Linked DNA regions of Arabidopsis thaliana. The protein of the gene in region 2 interacts with the protein of the main gene of each other region in a biochemical or structural test. Each region holds a gene or a part of one and is shown on either strand. Other genes may lie near its edges.

Region 1 (7,494 bases), on a different chromosome or scaffold from region 2:
ATGAGGGACAATGAAGTGTTTTGGAAATTGTTTCTCACCATAGTAGATAATCTTTTTCAAATTGAAATATTTAATTTACATCCACAAGAATCTACGACTTTTATCAAGGAATTTTGATCAATAACTCAATATATATGTGTGTAGACTAAGATGTAAGATGTTGATATAGAGAGACATTTGATATGATACAATGGCACATATATATGAGATTCTTGATGTTTGCAATTCTCACTTGATGAGCCGGATTTTTTTTTAAAAGAAAATTTGTTTTATCATTTTTTTAAACTCAAATTAAAGAATTTTCAAAAATATTACGTTGAGACTTAAGTATGACTTTCTTTTTAACTTATGTATTTGTTTTTATTGTAATTGTCTTAATCCTATATTTATTTGTTTGTATATTTTTTGCCATTCTTTTTGTTTTTTGGTTGTATACCCGTTTCGATGCATCATAATAGCATTGCTTTACTCTTTCTATGTGTATAATTAGCATGAACCGTAATGATTTTATGAGATTAGTCTCAAATTACAAAGTGCAAAATGTGTTCGCCATTATTACTAAGGAAAAAGTTTTGAGTACTAAGAATCCAAAAGATAATCAAAATCTAATTAGCCATTTTTTTCCTCTCATCTCCTGCAAAATATTACAACCTCACAAGTTTTGATTACCGATTAAGAAATATTCTATAACAACACAATTTTGCCTTACGTTTATTTTTTTGACCAACTAGAGTTAGCTTTATTTCAAGATTGACATCAATGTATCCACCATTACCAAATTTCAATTTGTTACCATTTTTGCAAATTACCACCTTTGCCTCATAGGTTATTGTAAAGTCAATAGTAATTTTATACAATTCCGCATCTCGAGTAGAATGCTGGTACCCCCATGTAGTTTTGCATACATCAATCCGTTAACTATGTTTTGTCCAAAGCAACAATGTACACCATTCATAGCTTCCATAGTTTTGCATTCTTATCTTCCAACAACTTTTCATTCTTAGCTTTGCAGTCATTTAATGTAGTTAATTCTCGACGAACACTGCGCCACAAATACATCGGAGAAAGTGGAACAAACTCACTGTCCAATCCATGTAATACTCTAGCTGAACTAATCAAATCATTGGACACATATGTCCAACATATTAAATGGCTCATTTGGTTTCGAATCAAACCTCCAAAAATTCAATCTTATTATGTTTTCTACATCTACTATATACTTATCTAATGGGTCTTTCGTATATTGTAACAAAACCAGGTAGTCATTACAATCATATTAGGATCATATCAAATATGAATTAGGATTCAGCCCATTCACCTTCTCTTCAAAATCATCAAGCGAGATTCTGAGTGGTATGCAACGAGATTAATGTTTCAAACTAGAATCATAAGCTTTCTTCGCATGTTCCAAATCACTAAACCGTTTTTCAAGCTAACCAAGTATCAACCAAAGCTTGAAGAATGGTGGTTTAAAAATTCATTTGATTCTGGAATAAAATATAAGAGTTTAGACTTTATTCGGTTATTTTTAGATTTTTTTTTTTAATTCTTAAGACTTAGAAGATATTTTAGATTTTGACAAAAATCTCACAATACCGCCTAAAAAAACGAATGGAATGGTGATAGAGACAACCGAGATTAGTTGTTTTGAATTCGCGATGTTTTATTATTTTATTTTCGTCATTACTCCTACTATTTTAGTATATGTTACTATTTTAGACTTTTAGTTAGATTTAAATATTTAATTACTTTATTATTATTGTTAGACCATGGTATAATTATTTTTATATTTATATTTATACAAACTAATAATTTCTATAATATTAAATAAATTTTAATCAATTGATCCGTGGTCGAATCCGGTTGATCCATTGACCCCGTGACCTAAAAAGTAGTCTAGTTCACCATCCAGGTCGGGTTTAAAAAGATTGCATTTAAGTCTAATTATTGGGCATAGAGAATGCTGAAATAGTAAGTACATAAAGCTGGAGAATCAAACCTGATTACACTGTACAAAGCCATATAGGAAACAAGTGTCAATTCGTTCTTCTTTGATGTCCATATCATATGGACCATACGAGTCATCATCCTCCAAAGATCTTAATCTTGATTTTATATAAAAAGTTATGGGTCTTTCTTTATAGTGGTGCAGAGTTAAGGCTTTGAACATTAGAAACAACAAACTTGGAGGTACCCAAATATCTCTGATTCATATCAAATCAGTTACCAAATCACTCAGGCCGTACCAAGCAAGATATAATGCATCTGCAAGCAGATCCGAAACTGGAATGTGTCTTATGAAAACACCAAAAGTATTAAGGAAGAATTGCAAAATATACATACAAAAATTATACTATAAAAATCTTATGCAAGTGAGACTTATGCCTTATTTCATCTAAAGAAGCACGAATGTCTAATCATCAAGATTACACACTGATTTCTCGATAACTATATACAATCTTCCGGTCCCTTTCATTTTCCTCCAAAGCCAAAGCAGCAACACTGTCAAATTGCACAAGACAAACCAATGTTCAACACACACTCACTATTTGAATACGTATTCACTAATGATTATACTTGAAAATGAGTTTTAAAGAATGTCTTACTGAGGAAGTGTTGTTCGGGTTACGGGAGCTTTGATGAGTCGGCGTTCTTGAAGATCCACTCACATTTGCTCCAGAACTTCTCTCTTCACGGACTTTATTGAAGATATGCGTGTATCCGTCAGCTGATGACGGGTTGTTCTCGTCCCAGTCACCGAATTTAGGCACCACTGTGACTTTTTCAGGCTATATATAAACAGATGACAACACATAAGCAACAAACAGAGATATTCTCACTTTAGAGGTTAAAAGTGAGATTCTTACACTTTCATCAGCTCTAAGGTTGGTAGGTTTAGGCCTAGATTTTCCAGTACCATCATAAGAATTCTTATGCAAAGGTGACTTGTTGTCATAACTATTGTTCTGAGAAGCTCTTCCTTGTCTTTTGTTAGCAGCTTCATTTGATGAACCACCAGCATCACCAAACTGTTTCAACTCGCTCTCTTCTCGGCTTCTCATATGCTCACGTGATCTTCTAACCGTGTCAACTTGCTCAGGTTTGGTTCTGGAAGAAGGAGGATGAGGAGGAGCTTGTGATTGAGAGTCAGAGTTATACTCCGGGTCATTCGGGTTCATGATCTTGCTACCGGGTGCTCGAGTCTTACGAGCTTTGTCAAAGTAAGCTGTGTAAGGAACATTCTCCTCAGCTTCCCAGTTTCCAAATTTTGGTACATTCGAACGCTGTTGCAACAAACAATTCAACAACAATGTCCTTCCACAAAACATTCAATAACATAACATCCTAAAGAACAATCATCACAGAAACAAGATAGCAAATTCACTTAAGAATCCAAAACAGAACAAATACAAATTGGGTTTATCGATTTCGACCAAGTACAATGATAAAGTTGAAATCTTTGCTAAGCAAAAATAGAAACTTTACCATAAAAATAGTAACTTTCATAAAACCCTTTTCTTATCTAAAGCAAATCAGAATCATAAAGTTGAATACTAATAGACATCGCAATCCATAGAAATGTTATCTCAATAGGAAGAACCATAAATGCAAATAGATTAAGACTCAACTTTCTACAAATCCTCCAAAAAAAGGGTCAGAGATTGACGGAATCGAAACAAAAACTATAATCTGAGAGAAAGCTCTAGACCTAAATAAGAAGAAGAGGAGAAGGAAAGAAGGAAAGAAAACACTTACTGCCATGGGAGAGAGGTAGCTAAAGAATTGAAGTCTGAAGCTTTTGTTAGGTTTGAGAGAGAAAGACAGAGAGAGATGTGAGAAGGAGAGGAGACGAAGAAGAAGTTTTATAAAAGCGTTGACTAGTGGTGATGCTATGTATTCTTTGACCCTTCCTCTCCTCTCTCTAATCTTCTCTTCTCTCTTTGTCTCACTCCAAACTCTATTAATTTCATTTCTTAACTCTATTACTAAATTTTCATGTATTGTCAAGAGCACTCAAACGCCGTTACCGTTACCGTCACCGTTAAAGGCGGCTTTATTTTGGTGTCCATGTTACATTGTTTTCCTCTTAAAAGATTGTAATAAATATTTTTGTCCTAAAGAATTGGATATGTGGGTCGGAAGCAACTTTTGGTGGAATCTTCTGCTCTAGTAGATAAGTTTTGTGGATCTAATAATTATATGCTAATAGAATAATTTGATTATTGATAGCAACAATGTTACAATGTTATAGCAGAATTTAGTGAATTATTGATCTTGGATTTTAGCGGATTAATGAGTAGTAATAACTGAAATTTCTTTTGGTGACGATTGGTACCAATTCGTCTATAGATAGGTTACCATTTGAATCAACTACTTGCAATTTTTGTGATACAAATAGTACAATAACTATTTTTACAAATATCGCCATTTAACGCTAGTACGTATACTTTTATTATTTACACTCATAGTTTTTTTTAGAGAAAACTTAAAAGTGTTTTGTGAAGAGTACTACAAAGTGATAGTAAGTAAATAAAAAGTGTTCTACGAGTACAAGGAAAAAAAAAAGGCAGTATGAACAAAATAGTTAGAAAACTAGAAATGAGAAAGTTATCATCAAAGGTGGTTGACCACAACTACCTAATCTCTTTTTGATCTTAGTTGATGTTTAAGGTTTTAGCACACTAATCAAGAAACTAATTAAATGATCAATTGTTTCTTGGTTTTCACATTAAAACATCATTTATAAAACTCAACAAAATTATTCAACCAATAACAAAAGAAAGAATTGAAAATGTTTATGAGAAATTGAGAATATTAACTTCTGAAAAGAAAAAGAAAATAATCATATGGAGACTTTTTGTGTTAGCAAAGTCAAAGCTGCCTCTTTACACTGAAAGACCCTTTTGAGAATTTACGTACCTCTTTCTTCCAAGAACAAATAACATGTCTCGTAGCATCTATTATCGAATCACCAATGACAATAAGATGTTCACTAAAAACCATAATTGGAACATTATTTTAGTAATTTTTTACTAGACAAAGTTGAAAAATGGAAAGTATTCAGCGTTGTTCACATCAATTTATTTGTGGTTGCCGTAGCGATAATTATTCAATGCTCCCGTACTCATACACACGTGAACTATATAGTCCACACGTACAAGTGTTTTCACATGGTTAATGCCTTAATGGGAATATTTTAGAGATTGTTCACGAAAAAATAAGAAAGATCAAATCAAAGAAGACAGATCGTTCAGCTTCATCAGTTTCTCAACGTGAGTGTGTCTTTTTATTTTTTGTAGTCAAGTGATATGGTTAGTTAAGACTAAAGACAACTAAGAGATCGTGTGCATTCTTAATTCTTTTGGTGTTATTTAGTTTTGGAGCGTTACTCTATTTTTGGGACATACAACAATCCACCCCAAATCAAGTTTATTTTATATAAATTGGTCCACGACGGATTTCTTCTATTTGTCTCAATCCATACTCTTACGGACTATAATATATAAAATGGTTCAATCCGCAAACGAATTTGTCCGCCACAACCATACAAACCAGTGTCACAAAGCCACAAAGGTAAGGGTTTCTCAATACATTATTTAAGGGGTTTATCACTCTCTTAGTCTCTTTAATAAGTCTCAATTCTTAAGTCTCTTTCACATTTGTCAATTAACTTGAATTTGCACTTTGGTACTCTGCTTTTCTCAAAGGGACCAAGAACCTCTTGGTATTTTCTTCTCACTAAAATTGAAATTGACCCGGTTTGGTTTTCTTGTTCAACGCGTGGAATGTATTGTTAGAGTTTTTGACTAAAACCTCACTCCAAAATAGGGCCACATGAGTCAGAAATGGATGTATATATACATACTGAAATAAGAATGGATGCTCATAGAGACAGAACTATTCGACTCCGGAACATACATCTCTTATCTCAGTTTTCAAGTTCCTCAACACTTGCAACATGTGATAATGTTCATGGTGACTCAGATCTTCCATGAGAAAAGTTCGAAGCTCCCCATTTACTTCGATCGCGCTGTAGCCTGGTACCTTCTCCATGGCCCCATTTCTCATCAACTTCCTCACTTTGGCCACTTCTTTCCACTTATTGGCAGTTGCAAAGAAGTTAGAAACCAGTGTTTGGATCCCAATACTATCCGGATTCAACTGGAGAATCTTATTAGCCGCAATGTCCCCGACTGATAGATTCCTGTGATTAATGCATCCTGAAAGAAGAGCAACCCATATTGGTAAAGCATTGTCAAGTTTCTCAGAGTTTATCATATCAAGAGCTTCTTCGACTCTCCCTGCACGTGCAAGAAGATCAATCAAACAAACGTAATGCTTTTCACTCGGTTGGATCTTATATTTGTTTATCATGACGCTGAACCAATGTTGGCCTTGTTCTACGAGACCCGAGTGGCTAAGAGCAGAGAGAAGTGATGCAAACGTGGCGTGGTCGGGTTCTATGTTTGATTCCGTCATTTTGAGAAACAACGATACAACTTCTTGACCGTTTCCATGAATTCCATAACAAGATATCATTGTGTTCCAACAAACCAAGTCTTTCCTTCCTACATGTTCAAAGATTTCTCTTGAACTTGAAAGAGCGCCACATTTTGAGTACATGTCCATCAAAGCAGTTGCGGTTACTCGATCAAGAACGTGCCTTTTCAAAATATAACAATGTACTAATCTACCAGTCTTTAATGACCCGACTTGCGAACACGCCACAAGTACTCCAACAAGCGTCACTAAATCCGGTTGAAACCCAAGGCTCTGCATTTCCACAACAGCTTCAAATGCTTTATTAGCTAATCCATTTTGAGCAAATCCAGAGATCAACGACCCCCACGAAACTGCGGTTTTAAACATCATCCTACTAAACACCCTAGAAGCAACCTCTATAAACCCAACTTTTGCATACATATCAACCAGGCTGGTTTCAACCACTACATTCATAGGAAGACCTGTTCTATACAAATACCCGTGAACCGAACGGCCCATTTTCGTATCCCCGAGATCACCAGAAGCTTGTAAGAGACCCAACATCACAACCCTATCCCTACCAAACCCTTCATTCTGCATTTCTCTGTAAAACTCAACAGCCTTCAACGACTTACCAGCCTGTGCAAACCCTGTCACCATTGTTGTCCAGCAAATAACATCTCTTTTCGCCATCTTTCCAAACAAAACCTCTGCTTCATCCATTTTCCCACACTTCATATACAGATTCAAGACAGATGAACAAACAAAGACATCATTTTTATACCCAAAGTCCACTGCTTTACACCACACAGCCTCTCCTTTCTCTAAAACCAAACCACTTAAGCACGCTTTGATCGTCATAGTGAACGTTGAGCTATCTGGTTGAATTTTTTCAGCTATCATCTGATCATAAAGTCGCAAAACCTCATCTGGATTTTTTCCACGAGAATAAACCACAATCATGGAATTATAAACAGAAACACCCCTCTGCGGCAATTCGTCGAACACCTT
Region 2 (8,167 bases):
TAATAAATTAAAACTATAATTATAAATTCAAACCGATATATAATCTTGTTTAATTACAAAATCTAAACTTTAATTTTCCTTTGTAAACCCAAACCGCCATTTAAACTCATTTAATCGTAAAAAAATCTAAACCCTAATCGTATTTTGTAAACCCAAACCGACATTTAACCTCGTTTAATTATAAAATCTAAATCTGTTTATAAACCTAAACCAATATTTAATCTGTTTAATTATAAAATCTAACCCCTAATCGTACTTTCTAAACCCAAACTGATATTTAACCTCGTTTTCTAATAAACCCAAACCGATATACAATTTTGTTTTAGTGGCAAATTAGATTTTATAATTAAATTAAATTATTTTTATTATTATTAGGTGTCAGATTTTAATTGGTTAAAATAAATGATGACCCTATCATGTTTTCTTACACATTTTCATTTCTAAGCTATTTAAAACACAGTAAGTTAAAATAACTTGGAAATAATATTTGATATATAAATAAATTAAAATAATACTTATAAATTTTAATGACATATTCAAAACTTATATATATTTAAAGACTAATATATTTTATTATAGTATTGACTCCTAATACAAGAAATACCAGTTTAGTATTCTTAATTTTTACAAATAATGTTTATAAACAGATATTGTACAGTCAATAATCTTACATTAGCCGTATTACTAAGACTTGTCATAAAATGATAGTAATTTTAAATTATAGCAAATGGGGATAGTGGGAGATTAGTAGGTAAATTGGCAGAAAGTTAAGAGACTTTATACAATCGTTAGCTTATCTGTCAATTGACTCTTACAACAATGAAGATCGATTTGGTCTCAGATATTTGTCTGTCCATTTATAAATATACACATGCACGCCTATTCTAGATATAAAACTATTATAAGTAACTAAATGCGCAAGCTGTATCCAAATGATTCTAATTAAGTGACTATATAATAATATACAACTAGATGCAATTCCCAAAAGTCTTAAATTAACCCTAATCATCTATGATAGTATATATATACGTAATCAACACTCCTAGCAAATTAGTATATGCATGCTAAATTGTGAAAACTAAAGTGATTGGAAAGTGTCGATATAAATTAATGTGATTATCTTATCTTTTTGTCGTGAAACTGCAATATCCATGCCACTTTGTTTGATCCTTGATGTTTTAGGGTTTTCACGTTGATCAGTCGCGATCATAAATATTTCAAATATAATGCAAACTTGTAGAATAATTAATATCCACCAAAGAAATGTCCATATATTTTAGACGTGATTTACATATACTTTATGAGACTGATCCACTATGTTGTGAGAAGACAAAACTTTGAATTGAATCATATATCCACATTTAATTTCATTTTATTATAACGTACTTATATGTCCACATTTATATATAAATTATGAAAATGAAAGAGGCTATTTATATATGCAATTGATGTTGTTATCAAGCACATCATATAGTCTTACTAGCCTAAAAGAAATTTATTCAAATTATTAAAAACGCATATATAATTGGTCCATTATCATACATTTTATTAAAAATGTATATATAATTTTTTTTTGATAATTAGGAGGGTCGGGATCGAGGCCCTTAATCTCCCAGAGTCCGGGAAAGACCAAGTGAAAGCCCCTGACCAAATGAAAATAACTAGCAATTTTGCGGTTGAAAGAAATCGATTTCTGACCTGAACCAATAAGGTAATTCCTCCTCAAGTAGAAACCACTAGACTAACACTACTTGATTTTGAAAAAACGCATATATAATTGGTCCATTATCATAAATCATAAAAGAAAATAATATCAAAAACTTATTAATTAGCATTTTCCATTTAGGATGCGAAGGACAAAAGCTAACGGTGAATAACGCGTCTTTCGTTAGACGACGAAATGTTCATAAACAAAAGAATATCATATTGGACCGCTCTTCTTGTTCTTGCTTTTGATTTGATCAAACAAAACAAAACAAAACAAAACAAAAAGACTTACAAAAAAACAAAGTAAGCTCAATTTTTCACAAAAAAAAATATAATTATATATTCTTACATTACGAAAAGACAAACGTATGAATTATTTACATTAGATTAAAGGAAAAAAAATGAATTTTAAGAGTTGGTGTGACTAGAAAAACTTAGTACCGTTCCCCACCTGCCTCACTTCTCAACGGCGAATTCACTCCATTTCTCAACGTTCTCCGGTGATTTTCCGTTGAATTCCTCGGCGACTTGGCCGTGGGAGATGGAGACTTGGTTGTCGGAGATGGAGACGACCGGGGATGATTACTTTGTTGTTGTTGATGATGATGATGATGACTACTCTTACGTGGCTTATTACCAACACGACCATCATCTTCTTTATTGTCCGGAGTGTTTGGCACCGTGTAAGTGAAAGTCCCCATAGGAATATCATTATAGTCTTTAAGATCATTGAGTATAGAGACGACGGCACTCATACATGGCCGGTTCTTGGGTCGATGGCTTAAGCATTGGTAAGCCAATGTTGCTGCTTTTCTTGCTCCTGTCTCTGAGTACTGACCTTCAAGTCTCGGGTCCATGATTCGAGATAGTTTACGTGGGTCATTGAGCATTGGACGAGCCCAGTCCACAAGGTTTTGTTCCCTCGATGATCTCTTTTTGTCTACTGATCTCCGTCCGGTCAAAAGCTCTAGCAACACAACTCCAAAGCTGTATACGTCACTTCTTGCTGTTAAATGACCGGTCATGATGTATTCAGGAGCTGCGTAGCCTTGTGTGCCCATCACTCGAGTTGACACATGAGTGTCGTCTCCTTCTGGTCCGTCTTTGGCTAACCCGAAGTCAGAGAGTTTCGCCGTGTAATCCTGAAAACAAGATTTGGTATAGGAGCTTCTTTAGAACTTTAGGAATTATAAATTGGAAAATAAGGGCTGATTGGTAACGACTGTTAATTTCGGTTGTAAACGCTTTTGCTGTAAGAAATTTGACTGTAAAAACTTTGACTGTAGAGACTTTAAGAGTAAAAATCGGGTTGGATTTTTTGTTACTTACGGAATCTAACAAGATATTGGAGGCTTTGAAATCCCGATAGATAACAGGATTTTCAGCTTCGTGTAGAAATTGAAGTCCTGTTGCAGCTCCATGAGCGATCTTCATTCTTGTTGACCATGGAAGCGAGGCAGAGTATCCTGAAAGATTAATCCAAAGTCGCTTAGAAACACTTGTCATAAGATTAGTTCCAAAAATATATTTATCTGAATAAGAAAACATAGAGAAAGAGAATGAGCCTTACTTCTGAAAAGTTGATTCTCTAAGCTTCCACGAGGCATGAACTCATAAACAAGAGTTCTATGTTCTTCCTCACAACAATAACCAATCAATTTCACCAAATTTTTGTGCTTCAATTGTCCCAAAAACATAACTTCCGTCTGAAAAGAAGATTAAATCCAATATAAGAAAAAAGACCAATTAAAAAAAAAGGAATATTTTTAGAAAAGATACTAACCAGCCATTCACGGTGACCTTGAAGACCTTCAAGATCAAGCAATTTAACAGCAACAGGCTGAGCTTTAAGACCAGGACGTAGCTTATCATCAATGAAACCCTTATGAACAGGACCAAACCCACCTTCACCTAGAAAATTGGTCGATGAAAAGCTTTGTGTAATGACTTTAAGCTCCGCTAGGGTAAACACATGAAGATCTGATCCGGCCAAAGAAATCGATAGATCTTCTGACAAAGTGTTGGAACTTGGATTGCTCATATCAAGTATCGATAGTCTTTGAAAAGAGCTCTGTTTCTTGATGACGTCATTTTTTCTTTTAGGTTTCTTTGAAGATGCCATTAGGGTTTCTGGATCTCCTAAACATCCAACGATTAGTGATCTCCATGAAACTTTCTTCTTCACCGCCATTGTTGTTGATTTTGTGTTTCTTTTCTTCTTCTTGTTTGGTTTGCAATGAGAGATGGAATGGTTTTTAAAGAAAATGAGAAGAAGACTTTATAATATAAAGTTTTATGTTATAAATATAATAACTCGGTTTTTAATGGTCACGAGGAGAGATAGAAGAAGAAGAAGACTTTATAGATTACTAATTTCAATTCAAATTCACCTACTACTACTACTATTGCTACTCCTTTAACACAAAGAAAAACTCATTCTATTGGGGTGGCTTTATATTGACATTGAAATAAATCACCCTAATTTTATAACACATGCTTATTTTATTCTTTGTTGATAGTAGTTTCTAAGAAAATTATTAACGAGTTGATTTTTTAGTCAGTGGTGGGGTGCTTCCAAAATTGTAGACGATGACAGCTTTTGCCCTCTTTCTCTAACGTGTTATCTTTTTACGTCAATGGACCATAAACATGTGATTCTGATGCAATGACGCCAAAAAGAAGTTTCTGATAAAATAATAATTTTGTTTAGTATTTTCTTCGAATTTGAGAGTTTGAGTATGAATTTAAAAGAAACAATAATAAAGCTATTTTGTATGTGTGCTTCTATTTTGTTTTCATCATTTTTAGTAGTTACAAGCTGGATAGGGTGGTGGTTTGTACCAGTCAAAATTGACTACTAGTTTTGGTAATAATCACACGATTTCAGTAAAAAAATAATAACATATTTTCATTTACGAAATTAAATATACAGCTTAAATTCTGTTAACTATTTGATGGAATCAAATTAAATAACCATCACATATTAATTCCCATGGAATATCCTTTAAGTTTTAAGCTTTACTAGGTGAGTGTCCGCGCTACCCGCCGGATTTTGTTATTTTTTTTTTTTTTTTAATATATTTAAAAATTATTATTCTTTTCTACAAATATTATTTTATAGGAGAGTTTGTATTATGAAGGATGAAAACTATATATTTCTTATTAAGCACTGTATATTGTTTGTTAATTTTTACTCATAGGTAAAAGTTTTGAGTGTGTTGATGAAACCGCATAATCCCGTGCTTTCATATATATGATTTAAAAGATGTATTCGTTAAATATACAGCATACATAAAACCTCTATAAATTAATACTCGATAAACTAATAATTGTATAAATTTTTTAATATATTATAAATGAAAATTTTGGTGAAATACGACTCTGCTATATATTTTTAGTTTACATTATTTCTAAAGTTCATTTTTAATATTTTTACTATATTCAAAATCTTTTTTGTTGTTTTCTATACATAATATTTTTTTATTAGTTGTAATTAGTTCTAAAAAAATAATAATTATACATAAGTATTTTTTTAAAACATAAAGTATTTAAAATTACAAAATTAGCCTAAAATATCTATAATTAATTTATTGATAAATTAATACATCGATAAATTAATAAAATTTCACGGTTCCAATATTATTAGTTTATCGAGGGTTTACTGTATCTCGATTCTAAAAAGGATAGATGGATAGTAATTGAAAATTATTGTTTCCTATCAAACTGTTATTAAAATTACATATTGTCTATGAAATTCTTCTTGTTTTAAACTATTTCCAATTTTACCAAAGGAACAATGGTCTAGTGATAGTATCTTTTGGATTACATATACTATCTACGAAATTATTCACTTATTCTTTAAATTGGAGTACCTAAAATCAAACTTTGGATACTAAGAAATATTATGAACTAAAGTTCTGGAAACCCCATGAATTATAAGATTTGTTTTTCCCATTATATTTTACTTTTTGTCTTCTAACTATTTTTTTTTTTTTTTAATAAAGAAATAGTTCAAACCTATGAATGCAGAGACTATCTTTTGTTGTAGTCCTCCTCACTTTTTCGAACTATGCAATGACTATCTTCCAAATAGAGACTTTGGGAGATTATCAGGAGTTTTGTGAACTTTTTTGGTTTAAGGTTTGCAATCTTTAGTTTATGGGGATGAACTACTAACAAGCTAAACATATATAACAATAGATCAACAACTAAAATTCTAATGTCATCATGCCTATCTACAAATAATTTGATAAACGATAATATTATTTAGAAAGAGTCAACTTAAAATATTACGATTCTAGAAGATTAACACTCCTCTCTTTCCCTTCTTCTCCAAGCAACAACATAGTCAACAAAATAGTTTGGTCAAAACTAAGAAAACAAATGAAAAATCATAGAAATTTACATTTCAACAAACACCTCAAAAAACAAAGATGAGAAAGAGAGTTTGGTAGAAATGCAATATATATATTATTATAGATAGATAGACAAATTTGTCGATCTTCTAGAAACACATCGTTTTTAGATATCAATAATTAGAAGAGAAAATAATATAATGAGAACAAAGGTGAAGAAAGATCTCTCCGCGTTGTCTGAAGACGGCGACTTATTCATCTCTCAACTATAATTAATATTTTGAGAGATTCTCTTTGTTTCAGTTTGAGTTGACATTTACTCGGTCCCACTTCTCATTTTTTCCATCAAGGCTTTACTCTATTTTTTTTTTTCATCCAATGATCTATCATAATCTATAATTGTGTTAGTCACACTTAGCCTTTGGCCTAGCTTTACTTTTTCTACTCATGTAAATATCATTTATATGAAAATTAGGTTTTACAACATATGTTAAACATATTCATATGATCCTTTGGCAAAAAAAAGTTAAAAACAAAGAGATCAAAAAAGTTATGGGAGAAATCTTGGTAGATGTTATCGCAGCTAAAATACCATTAATTTTCGATAATTGCGTCTGATTTTTTTAGAGGGATGATGTTTTTGATATCTCGATCAATATACTTTCGTCTAGTACTTCTATGAAGGTGTAGTTTTTTTAAAACTCTTCTTCAGTAATGTAATCTAAACCGTTTTCCGTTGTCGTAGATTTCTATCGTCTCTTTGGCCTTTGGTAAGATAATACATTAAACTTTTCTTCTATATGATTTTGATACCGCCGACTGTTGAAATGTTTTACAGTAGAGTTTAGAATTAATTGTAAAACATTTGATTTAGATTTCCTTTGTATAAGTTTTGGGTTTTTCTCCCTTTTGTTTTTTTGGCTTCGTATTGTGAAACATGTAATAATACTTTGTTTTCTTTTTGGTTGGACATAATCTCCGAAAATAAGCGATTTATCTTTTAGAATCTATTTTGTTGATCGCCAATTATTGTAAATTGTCACTAATTTTTTAGTCTATCTTTTTAGATCATAAGAGAGAAGCTACCATTTCTATTTTAATATCCTTTTCTTCATCCGTACGTATATCCACAACGACAAGTAGACAAAAATATGTTAAGTATTTGTATGTATCTTTTTTTTTTTTCTGTTAAGTATATGTATGTATATTCTTTTTTTCTTTTGTTAATATAAAATATATCATATATGTATATTCTTTCCGACCAAACTTTCTATCTTTGTTAGATACCTGTCTTTTATTTTTGTTTAATGGTGTGATTGGAGAGATACAATTGGATAGCAAGTAATCAATTGTATAACAATTTATCAAGAATTGTTAATTGTTATAGAAATTTGTTCCATTTTAAATTCATTTGAATATCTAATAAAGTATAAATATTCAAATGAAGTTGTTTTTGCTTTTAGTGCACCAAGTCTTCAAGTTCTTCCGGACCTGAGGAAGTTTCCATAATTCAAATATTTATAGCGAAGACACTTCTACATGTTGGGGTTAGAAAGAAAACCAACATATCATGGTTTAGTAACATGATTCTGTTTAAAGATTTAATTATTTATGTAATTATGTGGCTGAACTGAAGCAATTCATAGTCTATATAGAACAGCAAGAGTCGTGACACCCACATTAAGTAGTCTTGGTACTTGCCCAGCACAATATCAGCTCCAACATAATTTCTTACAATATTTTATTTAATTTATCTATGAAACCGTATTTAATTTTTGGGTTTCCTTTTTTGTACATGCACATAAATATAATATAAAATATATTTATGTGGATGTGAAATTCAGATTTGTGTATTAGGTTCTTGATGAAAATTTGATAACGTACGCATACATCAAAATCAAAATGTGTATTGAAATATACTAGCAAACGTATGTATTTAGTTTAATTATTTCAACGGGAATAAAGAAGATAATATCTAATTATAAGTTGTTTTTTTCCGTGAAAAAGACCCTTTCATGTTTATTCTTTTTTTTTTTTTTTGTTTATAGCATATATCACATCTACCCTCTATTACTTCTATTTTTTCCCCAAAAAATATTACTTCT

The links. The genes of interacting proteins can lie anywhere in the genome.
Region 1: the proteins of RIPK (region 2) and RIN4 form a complex in vitro, tested with the Arabidopsis thaliana proteins (one study listed by BioGRID).

What each region holds. Positions count from the first base shown.
Region 1 is NC_003074.8:9,128,726-9,136,219, reverse strand, and holds RIN4 (RPM1 interacting protein 4), read right to left. Parts: upstream 4,083-7,494; 5' UTR 3,763-4,082; coding exon of another isoform or gene 3,757-3,762; 5' UTR 3,330-3,756; coding exon 2,868-3,329; intron 2,790-2,867; coding exon 2,607-2,789; intron 2,503-2,606; coding exon 2,473-2,502; 3' UTR 2,132-2,472; downstream 1-2,131. Other genes in the region: AT3G25060 (Tetratricopeptide repeat (TPR)-like superfamily protein), read right to left, coding at 5,899-7,494.
Region 2 is NC_003071.7:2,285,373-2,293,539, forward strand, and holds RIPK (Protein kinase superfamily protein), read right to left. Parts: upstream 4,265-8,167; 5' UTR 3,899-4,264; coding exon 3,491-3,898; intron 3,414-3,490; coding exon 3,278-3,413; intron 3,174-3,277; coding exon 3,037-3,173; intron 2,850-3,036; coding exon 2,142-2,849; 3' UTR 1,866-2,141; downstream 1-1,865.